Neurospora crassa OR74A: one gene and its partner. The protein of the gene in region 1 interacts with the protein of each later gene in a pairwise test. Links are inferred from orthologs where the notes say so. Each region holds a gene or a part of one and is shown on either strand. Other genes may lie near its edges.

What was found.
Region 2: the proteins of NCU08324 (region 1) and NCU06340 interact in binary tests that used the Saccharomyces cerevisiae proteins (3 or more experiments, as listed by UniProt). The link is inferred for Neurospora crassa OR74A from reciprocal best matches to the Saccharomyces cerevisiae genes HGH1 and CNS1.

Annotation. Positions count from the first base shown.
Region 1 is NC_026504.1:2,397,047-2,407,023, reverse strand, and holds NCU08324 (DNA-binding protein HGH1), read left to right. Parts: upstream 1-4,051; 5' UTR 4,052-4,211; coding exon 4,212-4,232; intron 4,233-4,302; coding exon 4,303-4,452; intron 4,453-4,520; coding exon 4,521-4,634; intron 4,635-4,707; coding exon 4,708-5,490; 3' UTR 5,491-6,637; downstream 6,638-9,977. Other genes in the region: NCU16789 (hypothetical protein), read right to left, coding at 1-25, 311-1,110, 1,406-1,481; NCU08323 (bystin), read right to left, coding at 1,924-2,084, 2,161-2,301, 2,356-2,574, 2,643-2,815, 2,879-3,007, 3,069-3,688; pho-5 (inorganic phosphate transporter PHO84), read left to right, coding at 8,231-8,704, 8,768-9,977.
Region 2 is NC_026504.1:2,846,759-2,856,240, forward strand, and holds NCU06340 (TPR repeat protein), read left to right. Parts: upstream 1-3,968; 5' UTR 3,969-4,256; coding exon 4,257-5,672; 3' UTR 5,673-5,816; downstream 5,817-9,482. Other genes in the region: NCU06339 (APSES transcription factor Xbp1), read right to left, coding at 8,257-9,482. UniProt on the Saccharomyces cerevisiae protein: Co-chaperone that binds to the molecular chaperones Hsp90 (HSC82 and HSP82) and Hsp70 (SSA1). Stimulates SSA1 ATPase activity, but not Hsp90 ATPase activity. Involved in only a subset of Hsp90 functions.

The DNA of each region.
Region 1 (9,977 bases):
TTCTGTCACCGCTGCTGTTCCGCCGCTTGTTGAGTGGAAGGATCTTCTTTCAGACCATGCGCGCCTCGGAAACCTAATGTAACTCAGTCTAGAAGCCCTTCGGCTTTCTTCCTTTTCCGGAGTCCGTTTCATCTCCTGCTCATCACTGTTTCCCCTGCTATGCGTGATAGAGCCATCATTCGATGAATATATCACAGGGTCGGAGCGTCGTTCACTTGCTGGTCCTGATCCAGAATATTTCTTTGCTTTCTATCACGTTCGATCAACGTCAGCATACATCTGATTGTATAATTGGCTCTTGGAAACCTACGTCCTTTGTTTTCTGAAAGACAGACATTGCGCTGATTCCTGTCTTGGAGAGAAACCCAAAAGTCTCTCGGGATTCGGGAGGGATATCTGGGCTGACTTCAGCAGGTAGTGATAGATCTAATGACCTAGGAGTTTGGAAGCTGTGTTTTGGTGCGAGCCACTCGCTTTCCACAAGGCTGGTGCTGGTCAATAGATGTACACCTGGGCTTTGTAAAGCAAGGATATGAGCCTCCTCGGTACGAAAGGGGCTATGTGGGGAGGTAGGCGTATTGTTTGACGTCGATAGTTGCTGTTGTGGTTGGTTCGTCTTTGGTGAAGCTCTAGACGCGTCATTGTCGTGGCTTCCGCTTCCAGTCTTCCTAGACCGTCTTCTCCATTTCCAAACTTTGGCCTCAGGGGTTCTGCTACTGGCTGCAGCGAAATCAATCGGTCGAAACTTGCGCTCGGCCCAGTACCCCTCCGGATACCAAACCCATTCATATCCTTCTTTGGGTGGCCGAGGGGGGTCAAGGTCGTACACCCCTCGAAGAGAATTGTCTTTGGAGTTACGAACCGATGCGCCGCTGATCGATGGCACCCTGCTCAACGACCCATCCAACACTGCGCCACCGAGGCTAGGTAAAGAGCTTCTCCTCCGTTTCTCGCCTTGATACCAAGGCGACGACGAGAGGCTCATCGCAAGTGAATTGAACCGCCTTGAAAGTGTGGCCACCCGACCGATGGGTTCCGAAGGTTGGGCAATGCCTTGTTGTGCTGCTGTATTGATGTAATCGCTGTTTATCTGCCCAACGGGGGAAAGTACTATATTGAGGTTGAGGTGGTGTCGGGATTCTTAGGCGAAACGCCAGAAAGCAGCGCCGAAAATCCTGATCTTGCGGAAATACTGAGTAGAACTTGGTGTCTCGGGGTAAGAAAGCAATCTCAAGAATAAATAGGGAAACGAGAGGGGCGGAGTGCTTAGAATGTTCGGGTTGACCGGGTGTTAGGAAGAGAACACTAGAAACTCGTATGGTAAAAGCACCTAATACGGGATGATGCCATCAGATACACGAGATATCGAAGTAGGCGAGAGCTACATTGCCTTCTTTCCCTTTACACTGTTCTCTCAGGATTCCGACAACGTGGCAGAGGATCGCGGTTGCCTTGGACTTGGAAAAATGGGAGAAGGGCATTCCAAGCCAGATTGACGCAACAAAGAAGTCAAAAGGCAGCTTCCTTCACATAACTGAAAATGATTATTCCAAGGCTCCTCGACAATTCCTGTTGCTGTACCGGGTATCTTGAATTTATAATTTCGTGCACTAAAGCATTACAGGTCGTCAACAATTATGTTGCTGGTTGGTCAGCACCACTAAGATACAAAGGGTAGTACATGGTGACTGACTTGGCATGACCACTTCCTCTTCAAGCGGCGTGATGAGTAGTAGCCACTGTCGAGGCGTGACATAGTATTATCAAAGGGGTCAATGTCTAAGGACTGCCCCAAGCCACCAAGGTCACTAAACAACACGACTCCCATCTCTATGCGCGTACCAGGTAAAAATGAGCCACATGTCCTCGTTGCATACCAAGGGTTCATCGTCTATAAGTCATTACCGGATCACCGATGTTTCTTCAAGCGTCCAGCATCGTGTCATCGCCATCAAATCCGGGTTGCGCGACAGGGACACCACCTCCGCGACCTGCGAGAAGTTCTCGCCTGATCTCGGGCGAAATCTTGTCATGGCCGTGAGTTAGGAGAAGATCCAGGAGAGCCTCTCGCTGGTCCTCAGTAACTACACAAAGACCGCGGTTAGTACTCAAAAATAATAGGGACGCATAGTGAAACAGCGACGGAAGAAGCAAACTCACTGTTCGTCTTGTATCTCTGTGCAAATGAGAGCATGCACTGATGGAAGATGACTGGTAAAGCGTTGGGTGCCATATGCCCGCCGGTGGCGAAAGCGGGATACCGAAGAAAGTGGAAGACGAGGGCATCGAGCGCTTGGAAGGCTGTATTACAAAGTCAGAGAATACAATCATTGGCACGCTAGGAATTGGACTTACGCAAGGCGTGACGTTTCTCAATCAGAGTCTTGAGGAGGAAATTCGTAGCGCTAACGCAGTCGAGGCGCTGAGAAGCCTGCGCAGAAGAAATTTCGCACAAGCCCTTAATGGCCATACCGGAATGAACAGCCGGAATGGTGACCCGGGTCAAAACACCGGCTACGATCTGCGCCTCACGCAGCGAGCACGTTCCGGAAGCCGCCAAAGGAAACAAGAAGCCTGCCAACGGTTAGCTGGGTTGTCCCTTTTGAGCAAACCTGACTAAGCGTAGGCAGTAAATAACACACCTTTGAAGAAACCACCAGGCTTGTAGAGGGCCTTTTTTAGGGAGTTGAAAAGATGGACATTGAGCTTCTTGGTCTCGTGAATGTCCTCGCGGACGCGTTCTAAGATCACCATCTCCATAAACCGTTGAAGAACAGCCTCCTTGGCGGACGCAAATATCCTGGTGGCCGCGTAGCTAACAATCGCAAATGTCAGCAGCGTTTCTCTGGCTCCCGAAAACAGGAAGAAGCAACCATACCAGGCATTGGGAGTCCAGGACTCGGGTTGTGTAATGGGCAAGATGTCCTCCCAGTGGGGGATCTGAGGAAGGACCTTGAAAGGCTTGGGAAGCGGCCCAGATTTGTAGCGAGAAAGAATCATGCCAATTCTGCGAGAAGGAGTCTGTCAGTAGTCTGCCAAGAGGGTAACAGAAATAACGGCCAGCCTACTTCTCAAACACTTCCATCACCTTTGGGGGGATCTCGTAATCCTCATCAATTGGGCCAGGCTCGTCGCGGTACCCGCCTTGGGGGCCGCCGGCTTCCTTCTCTGCGATCTTGGCAAGAATAAGGTCCGCCAGGTTCACGCTCTGACCCTGCTCTTCTGCCCCTTCTGGCTTTCCATCCCATCCGTGTGTTAGGAGCGGGTCCTCGTTCATTGTGGGTGTGATAAACTGGTTGAATGTCTCGAGATCGGTGGCGTCGACTTCGATTTCCTCTACCTCCTCCTCCTCTTCCTCGCCCCAGGCCTCGTCGTTCTCAAACTTGTCGTCTTCGTCATCGTTGCGGTCGAATCTCGATGGATCGAACTCGAACGCCGAAGGAGCAGATCCGGAGGCTGCGTTTTGTGTTGTCCGGAGGTTCTCCTCCTCCTCGATGAGGCTACGGCTCATAGCCAAAATGTTGCGCGAAGCCTTGGCGTCGACATACTTTTGCTCATCTTCGTCGTTGGCGGCGCGAGTGTTCTTGCTCTTTTTGCCGGAGTTGTTCTTAAGGACGCCGGTAGAAACGAGGTCGGCCTCGAGGGGGTTGTGGCGCCTCTTCGACGTCGCCGCTGTTGTCTTGGGCATCTTGAATGGCGGTAGGGTTGTGCAATCGGGGGAAGAGTTGATGATACGGAGCTCTCCTGGTTGTCCCCTCTCTTTGCGATGTCGACTTGGCTGCACACGGCAATTGGGGATATTTTTTTCGGCGACCCTTGGACAATTTGTTCCCGCCGTGGAGAAGTCTGGGCACTTGAAAGGCTTGCGCTACGCTTGTGGTTGGTCACTTCTTTGCTGTGTGGGCACACTTTATTTTCTGATGCCAGGGCGGTGAAAATGATAAGCGGTACAATACCTCTTATCGCTTATCGTCTAGCTTGGACGCGCCCGGCGGAGCAGCGATAAACATTTTATTGCCCCGCATTTTCGTCACTGTGCCCCTCTTCGGTTGCAAATTCCTGGAATTTTGTTCCCTGTGTTTACAGTTTTTGCAGCTTGGCCCACTGCATGAATAAGAGCAAGGGAAGTCGCGACATCATAGCCTCGCTCGCCACGGTTACGAGCTTATAGCAAGTCCAATACAACCATACATCCAGCTACCATTGATAACATGCCGACCGAACTTGAAGAGGTAATTCTGCCAGAACCAGTGCAGTGTCAATGTCAGTGGACAGACAACTAATCGCTATAATCGCCTGAAGCTCGTGGGCTTCATTGCCTCGCCGAACGCCAACATCCGCCTTCTCGCGACAGAGAACCTGGTGCCCTTCTCAGCGTCTCAGCCCGCCCTCTTCAAGACCGACGAGCTCACCCCCATCAAGCATCTCAAGTTCTTGATCCGCGACCACCCGGTAGGCCCAACAGACTTGTCTTGTTTGCGCCCAAGCAGCTTCAGCTAAGACGTCGGTACCATGTGCAGAAAATCGCCGAGCACGCCCTAACATGCTTGATCAACTTGACTGCCGAGAAGGATGTGCTGGAATACGTCGCGACCGATGATCGCTTCCTTGGAATCCTCCTCGGGCTTCTTGTCGTATGTGTATCCATTCTGAGCTCCTACGGTGCGTGCGCAGCAAGGACTAACCGCTTCGATCCCGTTCCTATAGGAGCCCGAGGAGGTTAACGCCAATCTTATGGCTATGTTGCTGGCAAACTTGACCAAGTGGGATGGACTCAAAAGTCTTCTAGACCGGAAACAGCCCGCTCCAGAGAAGCTCAAGTCCGACGATAGGGTCATTAACCAACTAATGGACCTCTTCGTCAAGGGCGCCGACGGGACTTACAACAAGCACGCCGATTACGACTACCTCTCCTACGTCTTTGCCGACCTTTCGAAACATGAAGAGATCCGGCACTACTTTGTCAACAGACAGGACTACGACGATGTTATTCCAATCAACAAGATCAAGGTCTTTACCGAACACAAGTCCGATATCAGGCGAAAGGGAGTGGCGAGCATTATCAAGAACGCTGCTTTTGACATTCCTTCGCACCCGGCGTTTTTGGATGAGGATGACGTCAATATCTTACCCTACATTTTACTTCCTATCATGGGCGGCGAAGTTTATCCCGAGGATGAGGCATTGGAAATGCTTACCGATCTTCAGCTATTGCCTCCAGACAAGCAGCGCGATCCCGACAGCAGCAACATCCTGACACACCTAGAAACTCTTACTCTCCTCACCACAACGAGAGCTGGCCGCGATTTGATGAGGAGCATCAGTGTTTACCCCATTGTTCGGGAAACCCACCTGCGTGTTAATGATGAAGCTGTCCAGGATGCTTGCGAGCGGTTAGTAAATGTACTAATGAGAGACGAAGCTGAGGGCGAAGAGATTGAGGGAGGAGCAGCGACAGCAGAAGAAGAGGACGACATCGTTGAGGTTTAAAAATCTTGAGAATGAACCAAACGCAGCTGGTTTCGCTCCATCAGCGCCTGCCCGAAACCGACAGCCCGAGATTGGTATGCCCATACGTTATTTACATACCGTCTGGAAGCACTTTGGGTACTATGATGCTGAAAGTTGTTACACCGCCACACACACAGCCTTACCAAGACTTTACTTGTCCCTTGGGTCGAGCTCCCCACAGTCACCATTGCACCGTATTGTTATGCATTCACCAGCGCCGTCAACCTTGGCAAAAGCTTGAGGGTCTTGGGTATCTTCCTGTGCTTGTATCGACGAAGACGCCCTTCTTTCGGATCTGTGTCATGATGTCATCCAAGCCCACCAACAACGCACTGGAAGAGTGCTTCTGCAGAGAACAGAAAGCTTGTGTGTCAAGGAGGGAAAGCTTGTGCGATGGACTGGAAAGCTTGTTTTGGATGACAGAGCCAATGAAGTGGCACAAAAACTATACGTGCTCACGATATGGTCCCGGAAGTTTATTGACACCGGCACGGCTCGCTGAATGATGTTTGCCGCACAACATACAGAGGCATGGGACGCACCGGGCACTTGGGTTGTCAGATCAGCTTGGCATACGCAGGTTGAGCACCAGATTCATCGGGATTGTCTATACCGGTTTGTACCACAACACCAGACTGAATCTCAGACTTCACGGTACTGCGAGTTGTTTTCGTAGGTCTATCAACCTCCAGAATGGGTCGTTGTTAACGAGAGGAATAATCCGTAGTTGATATGCCCATGCCGTGGTCGAAGTCAGCGCTGTGATTGGCCGAGCATTGCGGATTTGCCAATGCATATCACACGATACGTGCTGAAAGCCTGAAATTGAAGGGTCTCCCTATCTTCAAAGTCACACACGCGGCCCCCGTGCTTGCTCGAACATGCATAAAGACAAGCTGGTGGCCAACCTTGGAGCTCAAAGCGAGATGCCTTGACGCGAGGACTGCTCCAGTCCCCACTGATGGAAAAGCACATGCCCTAAACGAGGATTTGGTGAAGATGAAAGACATGTCGCTCATGTCTTCTGTTGTGTGCGAAATCACGGATGATTCCGTGCTCTGAAAGAACATGTTTCGACGTCTCACTCACAGATCAACAATGGTCGTTGGTCTTGGTGGATAACCGAGTGCGTGGCTCGCGTGGGCAAGTGGGTGGGTGGATTCTGCTGTGACAGGGGCTTACGGAACCTTAAAGGATCCATCGAACCAATGGTGGAAAGGCGAACCACCGCGCGTTGTGCTCACACGTGTGGTCTCTTTCCCTGCGATTCGCGGGGAAGACCCTTCTGAAGGTGGGAGCGGCTCTTTTCTGGGGTTGTAGTGGCCCCTAGCGGCCCATGCAGGTGGATGTGCCAAGATGCCAAGTGAGGTTAGAGGCGAAGACAACGTCCGGGGGTCTTGACGGGGCAGGACGGGGCAGGACGGGGCAACAGACCAGTCCAGACTTTGCTACCTGAGACTTGCCTCGACCGTACGCAGTACACTACACCAAAAACCGATGATGAGATCAGCTTTGTGGAGTCGTTCTCGGACACCAGGCATCCAACATGCTCCCTTCTCGTGTATGATGTTCCTGGCGCTGTGGGCCAAACAGGTATTAGACTTCGCCCATTATGCAGCACTCGGGCACTTCCGGTTTGCAGGAGGCCAGGCACAAGAAACACGTTTTTGTAAACGACAGATCGGCGACCTTTTTCTCCCTTTTCCTCCCCTACGGCCGACGGTTGGTCCGGTCGGAGGAGGGGACCCGGAGATAGAGGAGCTGGACATCGGGATAAGCTTCTGGAAAGAGTTTTTTAGACCGGGCGTCGATATCGATCTTGTCCCAAAGCCGAGGAAGCTTGTTGTCGAGTTTCCAGATGAGGGAACCCCCACCCCGTGAGCAACGGGCCAATCAGGTGTAATGCTGAGCCCACGAGCTTCATGCCTCCTTGACACTGGATACCCAAGCATCAGCCAAGCACTTCTGCACTTGAGCACTTGCAGCCAACGGCTGGGTCTGGTCTTCGGTATGTGATGCTCTTTTGCATACGGACCACGCTCAACGACGTAGGGTAGTGTCGCTGTGAGAGGCGCACTGGGCGCCCAGGCATCCAAGACGCTTCCCGAGTGCAAAACTGCACCTTGGGGCATTATGCCAAGTAATCGAAGCTTTCAGAGTTTTGCCTTAGTTACCTCCACTGTCTTGTCTTGGCCAAAACTGAGTGCGTGGTGGTTGAACAGCTCGCTGGACATGGTACGCTACCCACGTGTCCGTAAAGACAGGTTCTCTGTCTCGGGTGGGAGGAAGATGGCAAGGGCATTATCGTGCTCGTTGTAGGGGAGAGTGAGCAGGATGGATTTGCTAGCTCGTAAAGGCAAAGTATCGACTGATCATTGGTGTGGGAGGTGGGTGCGTCAAACAAACTATTGAGGATATCCCGCGGGACTGCGTGATGTCTCGGAAATTGTCAGTAGCTTTCACGCCATCCGATGTGAATACCTAATCCTGGGGACACTGTAGTCCCATTCCTCCTGCAACGCTATAAGATAAATTCCCACGCATGCCAACTCCTTCCTTTCTTCCTATTTTCCTCGACAGCACAAGAGCCAAGTCCTTCCGCCCTTCTACCTCCCTTGGTTCCCATCGGACCACCAAGGCTCTTGACCAAGTCCGACTTCGTTGTCTTGAGGACCAACAAAGGCTCAAGTATCCGATACCGCCATCGCGACAACAAGCCATGAGTACCCCTCAGAAGACTGCCGGAGGCAACAACGCCTACCACAACTTTTACAATGACTTTCTTCACATCAAGGATCCCAACGAGAGGCGACGACTCGCCCTCGCCGAAGTCGACAGAGCGCCATTCGGATGGTATCACGTTCGGGCCGTTGCCGTTGCCGGTGTCGGTTTCTTCACAGACTCTTACGACATCTTCACCGTCTCTCTTTTGACCCTCATGCTCGGCATTGTCTACTTCCCAGGCGAAGGCAAGATGCCTACAACCTCCGACACAGCCATCAAGCTCGCAACATCGGCCGGCACGGTCATTGGGCAGGTCGGCTTCGGCGCCGCTGCTGATGTCTTTGGTCGTAAGAGCATGTACGGATTGGAATTGTTGTTCATCATCTTTGCCACTCTCGCTCAGGCCTTGGCCTCCGGGTCACCTTCCATCAACATCATCGGTATCATTATCTTCTGGCGTGTTCTTATGGTAAGCAATTATTCAGACGAACCCCTCTCACAAGAAACGTATAACTAACATCTATTACAACAGGGGGTCGGTATCGGTGGAGACTATCCTCTTTCCAGTATTATCACCTCCGAATTTGCTACAACCAAGTGGAGAGGTGCCATGATGGGTGCCGTCTTTGCTATGCAAGGTCTTGGCCAGCTTGCTGCCGCATTCGTCATGTTGTTCGTTACACTCGGTTTCAAGAAGTCGCTTGAGGCCGCCCCTACTCTGGCTTCGTGCACCGGAGACTGTGCCGTTGCCGTTGACAAGATGTGGAGGACAGTCATTGGTGTCGGTGCTGTTCCCGGCTGCATCGCGCTCTACTACCGCTTGACTATCCCCGAGACTCCTCGCTACACCTTCGACGTCAAGAGGGATGTTGAGCAGGCCAGTGACGACATCGAAGCCTTCAAGACGGGCAAGCCCAAGGGCCAGCCCGACGAGGCCACCCGCATCGTCGCTAAGCAGGAGGCCGAAAAGGAGATGGAGATCCCCAAGGCCAGCTGGGGCGACTTCTTCCGCCATTACTCCAAGCGCAAGAACGCCATGCTGCTCGCCGGCACCGCCCTGTCTTGGTGCTTCCTCGACATCGCCTACTACGGCGTCTCGCTCAACAACGCCACCATCCTCAACGTCATCGGCTACTCCACCACAGGTGCCAAGAACACGTACGAGATCCTCTATAACACCGCCGTCGGCAACTTGATCATTGTTCTCGCCGGCGCCGTCCCCGGATACTGGGTCACCGTCTTCACCGTCGACACTGTCGGTCGTAAGCCGATCCAGTTCATGGGCTTCGGTATCCTCACCATTCTTTTCGTGGTCATGGGTTTCGCCTACAAGCACCTCTCGCCTCACGCGCTGCTCGCCATTTTCGTCCTTGCCCAGTTCTTCTTCAACTTTGGTCCCAACGCTACCACCTTTATCGTGCCCGGCGAGGTGTTTCCCACTCGTTACAGGTCTACCTCGCACGGCTTGAGCGCCGCCATGGGCAAGATCGGCTCTATCATCGGTCAGGGCGCCATTGCGCCCCTGCGTACCAGGGGCGCTGTCAAGGGAGGAAACCCAAACCCGTGGATGAACCACGTGTTGGAGATCTATGCTCTCTTCATGTTGCTTGGTGTTGGTACCACTTTCTTGATTCCCGAAACGAAGCGGAAGACGCTGGAGGAGTTGTCGGGCGAGTTCGATATGAGTGGTGAGGAGGAGGCGCAGAGGGATACGACCCTCACTGAGCATAAGACGGAGGCAC
Region 2 (9,482 bases), about 450 kb from region 1:
CACTGGCACTCCCCGCGCTGGGGAAAACGAGCTTGGGTTCATTGCCCAGCACATTGGGGTTGTTCCTTCTTCTGTGTTTGCTGCTCGAGAATTGAAATCGTGCAAGTGCGACTGCATAATGGGCAGGGGTGGCAATGCAGCTGCGGCCAATCATAGTGTGCATGGGGCTTACAAGAATTGAAATTGATGCAGTGGGTGCCCACTTAATTGGTCCAGATCGTCGATTTTCGTTGATCATGGATTGTTCGCATTGGTGGGAGCTACAATGATAACCTTCCAACGTTTCCTCCTCCACCTCGAGCAGAAAGACCAAGACGGGCATCTCGCTGCTTCTGCCTTTCCGTCAATATTTCCACAGCTCATGGATGCGCAACCTCTGATGCCGCCCGTCCTTCAACCACCTTCTTCAAGTCCATTCCGTTACGTCAACGACCATGCTCAAACCCCTAGAGGTATGGACTGTGCGGCTTTGGAGAGCGGAAGTGCCAAACTCCGAAGATTGTTCCAGCCCTTCGCCGGCGTCTAGCGGTGAAACCAGACACAACAAGTGGAAAGTGCTGGTTGATGTCTCGTAGTGAGACTAATGACCGTTACACGCACATGATCATCATATGCAGCATCGAGGCCGACCCCGGAAAAGCGTTTCTAAGGCTCTCGCCCCTCCCGCATCGTTTTTTATCTTACACTAGCTTCAGCTACTACATAGGTACCCGGTCCTAGGATTCTAGATGACAATCTAGGCCGGCACTGTGTTTCATTCGAGCCATCTCCGTCACCTGGAACGTATTTTACCATCTCTTCGGCGTCAACTCTACATCCCCGTTTTATATATTTTCCGAGTCTGCTCATAGACCATCATGTCCTCACATGCTCTCACTGTCAGATCGCCAGTTTTTTCTTGCTCCGCCGTTATCATCATCTCGCAGGACAAAGAACGACAACTCATCGATCCGATACATTGCAAGCTATCAATGTCAAAATTTCTTCAATAAAGAGCGAGAAGCTTATCATGTTGCATGCCTGCAATCCCCTCTTCGTCGGCATGGTCATGGTTGCACTCGGCATTTTCCATTATTTCACTCGTCGGTAAACACCAGGTACGGATATACACATAGTATACACTAGTACATACCTACCTATACACAGTAGTGTTGCCGCCTGCAGAGTCTGGTTTGGCTGCTGCAATGCACCCACCCTGATGCGGCTTGCGTGTACCCGGCCGGATCTTCCAGGGCGATGTCACTTTGCAAATACCCGGTCACCCGCCCTGGCCTGCTCTCGGAGTTACATAGCCCATCAATACCATGTTCTCCTTTTTGCTGACCCTTGTTCATGAACTGAAGATGCAACCACGGATGGATGATAACTCGACCCATGCCGCCTTTTGCTACTACAATACTGTACTGCATATACATTCACTAGTGCCCGCAGAGCTGTTTCTCAGAAGAACTGTATGCATACCACACCCATTCACTCTCTTCTCAACCCTGTTTACACAATCCATCCTCCTGCAGGGCCCAATTGCATTGGTGTACGAAAGGGGCACCAACTGATTACGTCAAGCATGGAGGATATAGTTCGTGAGCTACCTGGAAAGTGAGGTATCACTATTTGCACTTTGGTTATTATTCTTGTCGGAATATTTTCAAGAGGCCCAGTCTCAGCCATCAGTTATCGGCCAGCCTTTGACAGCTTCCGTACTTCTCCCGAGGCCGGGTTAACGCCGGCTCAAGATACCTTGGTCAAGATGACCCGTACCCAGCCGGTCTTCCCACCCAGCCTCCATGCAAGCACATCTTTGTGTCACGCTACTGCATATGCATCAAAACTCCTCGACTCGAAAGGTTTTGGGATCAGGGCGCTAGCTTGACGCCATCTTGAGGAAGCACAATGTACTCGAACAGCCGTCAACGTACACACCCTTGGGCATCGTTCCTTTCGTCTGCCTTATGGGAAATCAACCAAGTCAAGACGTTACCCCGCGCACGCGTTCCTTGTACTGGTGATTACTCAATTCCAGGACTACTTTGTACAAGCAGTCGTACTGGGATATTTCGCAATATCTTGCTTCCGCACTTTCTGGGGATCCATACAATGGGGAGACACGCTTGTCATAGCCCTATCAACATCTCTCCGTCCGTTTTTGCCTCTTTTTTTCTGGCGAGACGTTCAGCATCGGAACATTAACGGATTCCTACACGCATCAAAATGACTAAGTATCTCATCAGAAGTCCCTACCAGTCCCATATCCGAGCCGTGAGATACTACGCCACCAGCGAGTATGATTTGGTTTGCCGCCTTACACAGCAGAACTACCGAGCTAGGGAATCCATCAATTGTCGGATTACCAGTTATGGGTTGCGCCCCTATCTCCCTTTTTGCGCCGCTTCGCAAGGATAGAACAGCCAAGCGAACTAATACATAGCGAGATATCACATGCATGCAGCCCTGTAGCAGACACGAATACCTACTGACGTGCCTCATCATATCGGCGTCCGATGGGTTTGCAGTGCTTCATGCAAGAAGTCGGAAGTGACTGTTCTCCGGGCTAGGGTTTCGGGCCGCTGTGTGGAAGGGGACAAGTACCATATCTGCCATCCCGAGAAGGCAAATAACAGTTCGCTAAGGCATCAGCCAGCTCAGATAAGCCTATCTCATTTCCTCTCTAACAAGGCTGCTATGCATAGAACAAAAATGTGTCTCCAAGCAAGACTGGTAAGAGTAGCATACCCAGTATTGAAGCGTTTGTCTCTTTCATCCTCAAATCCACGTTCTTGAAGTCGACCAAAGGAGCTATCTTGGAAGAGGCCCTGTCAACCGTTTTCTTCTAGGCTCCTAGGCTCTTTTAGAGCTAGCCACATCCAATTCGATGAGGTTGACGCGAGCCGAAGACAATCAGATCAAACAAATCTGATCATCGGCTCGTTAATCTCTGGCCATCAACCCAAATAACAACACAAACCCGCGGAACGACGTGGCTACTCTGGCAACATTGACAGCATACTAGATGCCTAGAGGATATGGACACAGCAAGCAAAGAACCAGCAGGCCAAGCGCCAGCACACCAAAACGGGGAACGCCGAAAACGGGTGTTGCGTTAGAAAAGAAAACTGTACGGCGCAAACAACGTGAACAGATCGGTACCCATGACTATTGTCGTCTCATCGTGTGATCTTCTCGTACCGGATGAATCACTTGTTCGGGAGGCAGTTGAAAGGTGATATCTCTACCACTCTGTAGTTAGGAACATGTTTCAGGAAGAGGACTCTGAGAGGGGAATAATGAAAAGTGGAAAGTTCGCAACGTGCCGCTGCACGAACCCAGTATGAGGTGGTTTGATCTTGGTTTTTATCGTGGTGCTATCTTTCACCATGGACAGACAACCTCAAGACTACAGGTGTAAAGTTCTTGATGATAGCACGCACTTCAGTCATGGAGAACGGCGGAAGTGTTAATTCTTGCAGTTTCATTCTTCCTTTTCCAGCACTATTTAGTTCCTGTGGTAACAAAGGCATCATCTGAACAGTGTCGAGTGGGAAAGTTTCAAGGAATAGGCTTATAGGGGTTGGGCCTCAAAACAGGATTCAACAATAACACGGTCCGATGGTGTAGTTGGTTATCACGTCAGTCTAACACACTGAAGGTCCCCAGATCGAGCCTGGGTCGGATCACAGTAAAATCTTCTTTTTGCATGTTTGCAAGCCGTCCTCTGCGGACGCTCTTCTCTGCCTTTTCGTTCGCTTCCTTTTATTTTTGCAACCATCTTAACACAATCTCCGGACGAGTACAATGGAAAACCTCTCATCCTTGCCGCTGCTCGATACCGGTTCCTACTGTGATTTGGTGCCCCGCCCCCGCAGCTCCGGGCCGTTGGTTCCACCTCGGAGCCGGACCCGCTGCGGTAAAAATGTTTCCACTGGCCCCACTTAAAAGTTTCCCGGAGCAGAAATCCAGAAGAAGCTCGAAGAATGTCACTGAGCCTTGATAATTTAGGAGATTATTCGACTTCTCAAGTGAACAAAACAGGTTACTTCATTTTGTCTTACAGAGGGAAATCCTAAGCGCTTCAAAGCTACACACAGGACTTGCGATATCTTCGAATACGTTGCGTCACAAGTCCGAGTTCATTTTCAAGTTTCGTCATTTTCGACATCAGCAACGGAAAAGTCCACACTCTACAACAACAACAACCTCGAGTGAGTGAGCGGGAGTCTCACTTTTACCATAAAACCCAAACAACACAATCAACGCCCAACATGGAGGACGTTACAAAATCCGCCGAGTCTCTCAACATTTCTAACGACAATGACGCCTCTGAGTCGTCAGCTCCGGCCGTCATCGGCCCAGCTCCGCCCCCGCCCGGCGCCGACCTCTCCGCCCTCTTTGGCAACCTTCCTCCCGGTGCGCTCGCCGCCAACGCCAAACCCATGACGGTCCAAGAGACCTTCGAGGAGATGAACAAGCACCCCCTCTTCATGACCTCCCTGCCCTCCGACGAGGATAACGAGGAGCTCGCTGCCCTGCAGGCGCTCGCGTACGAGGGCACCCCCCTTGAGAATGCGCAGAACTTCAAGGAGCAAGGAAATGAGTGCTTCAAGGCCAAGCAGTGGAAGGACGCAAAGGAGTTTTATGGCAAGGGCATCGCGGTGCTGGTAAAGGCCGACAGGGAGAGACGGGATCCGGCCTTCAAGGCGAAAGTCGAAGAGGAGAAGCGGAAGCGGGAGGAGGAGGCGCGCAAGGCCCGGGAGGAGGGTGACGCCAAGGCCAAGATGGAGGCGGATCTGGAGAATGTCAAGGCTGAGATGCCTATCGCGGAAGCAAAAGAAGATAAAGAGGAAAAGAAGGAGGACGAGCTAAGCGAGGAGGAGACGATCAAGCAAGAAGCCTCGCTGCTCGAAACCCTCTACTGCAACCGCGCCGCCTGCCATTTGTCGCTCGCCAATTACCGCTCCTGCACGCTCGACTGCGCCGCCGCGCTCCGTCTCAACCCATCCAACCTCAAAGCCCTGTACCGCTCCGGCCGCGCTTTGTTGTCTGTCTCCAAGATCGCCGAGGCCGACGACGCCTGCGCGCGCGGTCTCGAGATCGACCCCTCCAACGCCGCCCTCAAGCAACTCGCCCGCGACCTGATTGCCAAAAACGAGGAAATCACCCGCAAGCAGCGGGCCGAGGAGGCGCGTCTGGAGAAAGAACGGCGCAAGAAGACGCTCAAGAAAGCGGCGCTCGAGGCACGCGGTATCAAGACCCGCTCGACCGATGACCCGCCTTCGATGGAGGATGCTTGCATCCAGCTTGTGCCTGATCCGCTTGACCCTCAGTCGGAGCTGAGTTTCCCCGTCATGCTGCTGTACCCCTTGAAGCTGGAGAGTGATTTTATCAAGGAGTTCAGGGAGACCGAAAGTGTGGGCCAGCATTTGGAGTATATCCTGCCGGACATGCCGTGGGATGAGGAGGGGGACTATGATAGACCCGACAAAGTGGAGTGTTACATGGAGAGTGTCAGCGGCGGGCTGATCAGGGTCCCGCAAAAGGCGAGCTTGTTGAGGGTGTTGAGTAGTGGGAAGACGGAGGTGGTGGATGAGTTGGTTAGAATATTTGTGGTGCCGAAGGGGGAGAAAGCGGAGGGCTGGATTAAGGAGTGGAAGGAGAAGAAGGCGGGAGAGAAGAAATGAGTGAGTAAAAATCGATAAGGATGAGAGGGAGGACGAGAAAAGAATTTATGATACCCAAGGTAGCTGAGTGGGAGGATGCATATGATGCGGGGAGAAAAAAAAAAAAAACGGAGAGGAGGACTGGATGGATGGGCGGTTTACATAGACATTCAGTAGTTGCAGATTGCTGTTGCAATATCAGTCACAATATAGGGTCATGGGATAATCTTGTTCGCTGTGTTTAGTTGTTTCATTTTGATCTCAATTGTCATTTGAAAATCTTGCTCTCGAGCAACTACTCTTGGTAGGGTATTATTCAATTCTCACCACTTCCAGCTTCCGGCTCTTCCTCATAATTTTCTGGAGGGTTTCCATCATCAAGGAGTTATCCTAACTCTTCCTCTTTGCAAGTCTCTAAGGATTCCATCCTCTATTTTCCTCATAACACAGACAGAGCCAAACCCAAGTACTCTAATCCCAGCAGACCCTTAGCAAGGTCCAACACAACAAACATGCTTTGTAGTCCATCAACAAGCCACAAGTCAAAACAAAGATACCTTTCTACCTCAGTGTCGCTTTTTGTGGATCGCCGATGGATAGATCATGCCCTTCTCTACATCATCAAAGTAGACGTTATGGAGAGACTCCCTCTCTGTATATCTCAACGCTGTTATCGAAACAGGCCACAATAGAAGAAGAGATGAAGGGATGAAAGGCGGTACTAAGCTGCTACTGCAGGGAATGAAGAGAGGGTACACCAAACAAAATAGAGAGAGAAGCGCCAGATATCATTCATTCGACCCGCTGTGACTATCAAGTCAAGACTTTCTATTCACACAATCAGCTCAGACAGTCAATGACTGGATCGATGGATGGTTGAAGAAAAGTGTGAAAATATCCGGTCACGGGAAATAGGAAGCAAAGTCATAGGATCAAAAGGTGGAGGGGTCAGATGATGTGTGCTCAGACGTACCAAGAAACAAAGAAGTTACAGGTAGGTACCTCAGAGTACCCAATTCACCTTCAAACAAGGTATAATGTTGGATAATACATGTATTGACAAGAAAATGGGCGATCCAACCGATGGCAACTGGGCAAAGAATGGATTTTCTTGACGACGCTCAAACAGTTCGCGTTTCTCTCTCTTTTTTCTTCTTCTTTTTTTTTTTCTTTTTCTTTTTGTTGGGGAGAAAAGGGGGAAAAGAGGAGGCAACCGCCGTACCAGTGCACCTTCGTGCTCGTCCTGTGAAGGCAACGAAGTGCTGTGTAAATACTTACTAGTACATAACCCGGTACTTAGAGCAGGCAGACAAGAACGATGGGCAAGAACAAATAGAGAATGTCAGGCAAGTACGATGATAGAGGTACCTACCTACCTACCCACACTAGGTAACGCTGGCCTGTCGTGCCTTCCCTTGTGTTCGGGCTGCGCTTTCTTCTGCCAGAGGATTAACATAGTGATGTTCCGTTTGATAGCTGAGGGGGGGGACGGATGTATAATTTGGTGTTATGTAAGGTAGATACTTATTCTACCGTAATGGCCGAGCCGTCAAGGTTCTCTTCTTTTCGATTATCCTTTATCTTCTCGGCAGCCAAGAGGTCTCGTCTGGGTGGAGGTACCTTAGCTGTTGCCTCATTCCTCCCGTCTCCCTGCCTTCTGCTGTGGTTGTGTGCGTGCGTGCGTTGTGTGATGTTGGGTTGGTGAGGGTAGGCGGGCATAGTTTGCCTGTGACCATGGGGGGAGACCAACCAAATAGATCTGATCCAAGCCGGTGAAGCGATCAAGTAACTGCGACGGTAAAACAGGGAAGGCAGAAGCGAAGAACAGACGATACACACGCTTGTCATTTCTCGAAGGGTGGGAGTTTTGCCTGTTCCTTGCGAGCTACCCAGAGGGGGTGGGAGCATGGTCTTTGGGTCTTGATCGAGCACTAGGTGGTGGACGGTTGATAGTTGTTCTTGCCATCTTCGGCAGTAAAGTGTGTTGGATGTGGCAAAATACAGATTCCAGTGCTGTGTCATCCATCGCATCGAAATCACTAGGTAGATAGCATCTCGTCAAGCTTCATAGTTCAGACAATCAAAGAAATTGTCGAGCATTGCCGATTAATTTCGGAAACAAGAAAAGCATCGTCAAAAATCAGAACAAAGATAGGAAGAATATCATAGCCAACGAATTATTTCTTGCCATGGAACTCAACGCACGGTAACAATGTAGCAAAATCTAAGAAGATATTCAAACAGGGAACGGACGCCCGTAATCCGCGGGCTTCAATAGCCGAGTACAGACTCTCGACAGTCTGTTTGATGCAATCTACAAATAGCAAAGCAAAGCAAAGAAATGAAAACAAGGCACACAAGCTTCGCGAATGTCAAACACCTCCCTTTATTCACTGCAGTGCCTTAACCCTATTCTCCCTTCTCCTCCTAGGAAAAATTGTTGTAATGATAGTACTCTCTTTCTTCACAACCGTGATTTCCTTCCTAACAGGACCAATACCAACATCAAGCAAAGAATCTGCCACGCCCTTTCTCCCCAGCACAAGAATCTGTTTTTGGCTCTCCCCTAAATGTACACATGCAAACAATCTTGATTTGTGTCCCTTCAGAATGACTTTGCCCTCCCAACAAGCAACAATCGTCTCCTCTTCCTTCTGTATTGTTGCTCGTGCTCGTAATCACCTTCATCATCCGCATCACCATTACAGTGACGCGGACCACCAGCATCAGCTTCTTGCCCAGCATATCTAGTCATCTCGTTTGCGACGACCGAGTTCTCCCTAGTACCATTACAACTTGTAGAGGGAGAAAAAGAAGAAGAAGAAGAAGCAATGGAAGTGGAGATGGGTGAACCCAGGTAATTGCTACTTGGCGAGGGAGGTGGTGCCAATGGCTCGGTAGTGTCAATAACAGCAGTAGCAGTAGCAGTCGTAGTACCCCTTCTCAAATTGGTAGCAGTAACCACAGCCGACAGCGTAGGCGATGGTTGACCAGAAGTGGGCGGGGGAGAGACTGGTGATGAAAGAGAAGATGAAGGTGATTCTGGTCGTTTGGTAGAGGAGTAAGCAGCAGCAGCAGCAGCAGCAGCAGCAGCAGCAGCTTCCTTCTCTTCTTCCTGCTGTCTCAGATGCAAGAGTGTTAAAGCCGCCGTCTTGCGAGCTGCAAGACTTGTTTGGCCATCATCGCGACCACTACCAATGGAAGCGGAATTGAAATTCCGGCTGCTGCTATTGTCGCTTGTAGTGTCATTCGCGTTTTTGTCAGCCACAATGGAAGCTGAGGAGGAAGTCCTAGGTAGTGGTAGTGGGAGATGCAGATGGCTTTCGTTATCGTCGCCACATTCCATGTTTGCCTCTACTGCTATTCTCCTGGGCTGGGTGTCTTCTATGTGCTCATGCTCATGCTGGTCCTGTAGGCTTGGCCTTCTTTGGCTCCTCCAGTGCATCGGCGCCGATGTTGATGATGGAGGAGTGAGTGCTCTTTGGTATCCGGCGGAAAATTGATAAGCGCCGCAAGTGCTGTGATCTTGACGAGAATGACTACTAGTCGCATCACCTCCTACTCGGGAAGGCCTCCCATTAGGAAGCCTCCGCCGACCAGAAGGTACAGGTAATGAGCAGAGTTGGGAGATGGGTGGTAGCTGAGGTCTTGGGCTGGGAGAGTTAGATGATGAAAGTGATACCATTGAAGACGATGGTGAGGATAGTATGAGAGAAGGGGATGGTAATCCTTGTGGATGTTGGCTGGCCATGCTGTCAATACTGCCAGCTCTACTCCTGCTGGCGCTGCCTGGTTGAGAAGCCCATGGGGAGGAGGATGTTTTTCGAGGAG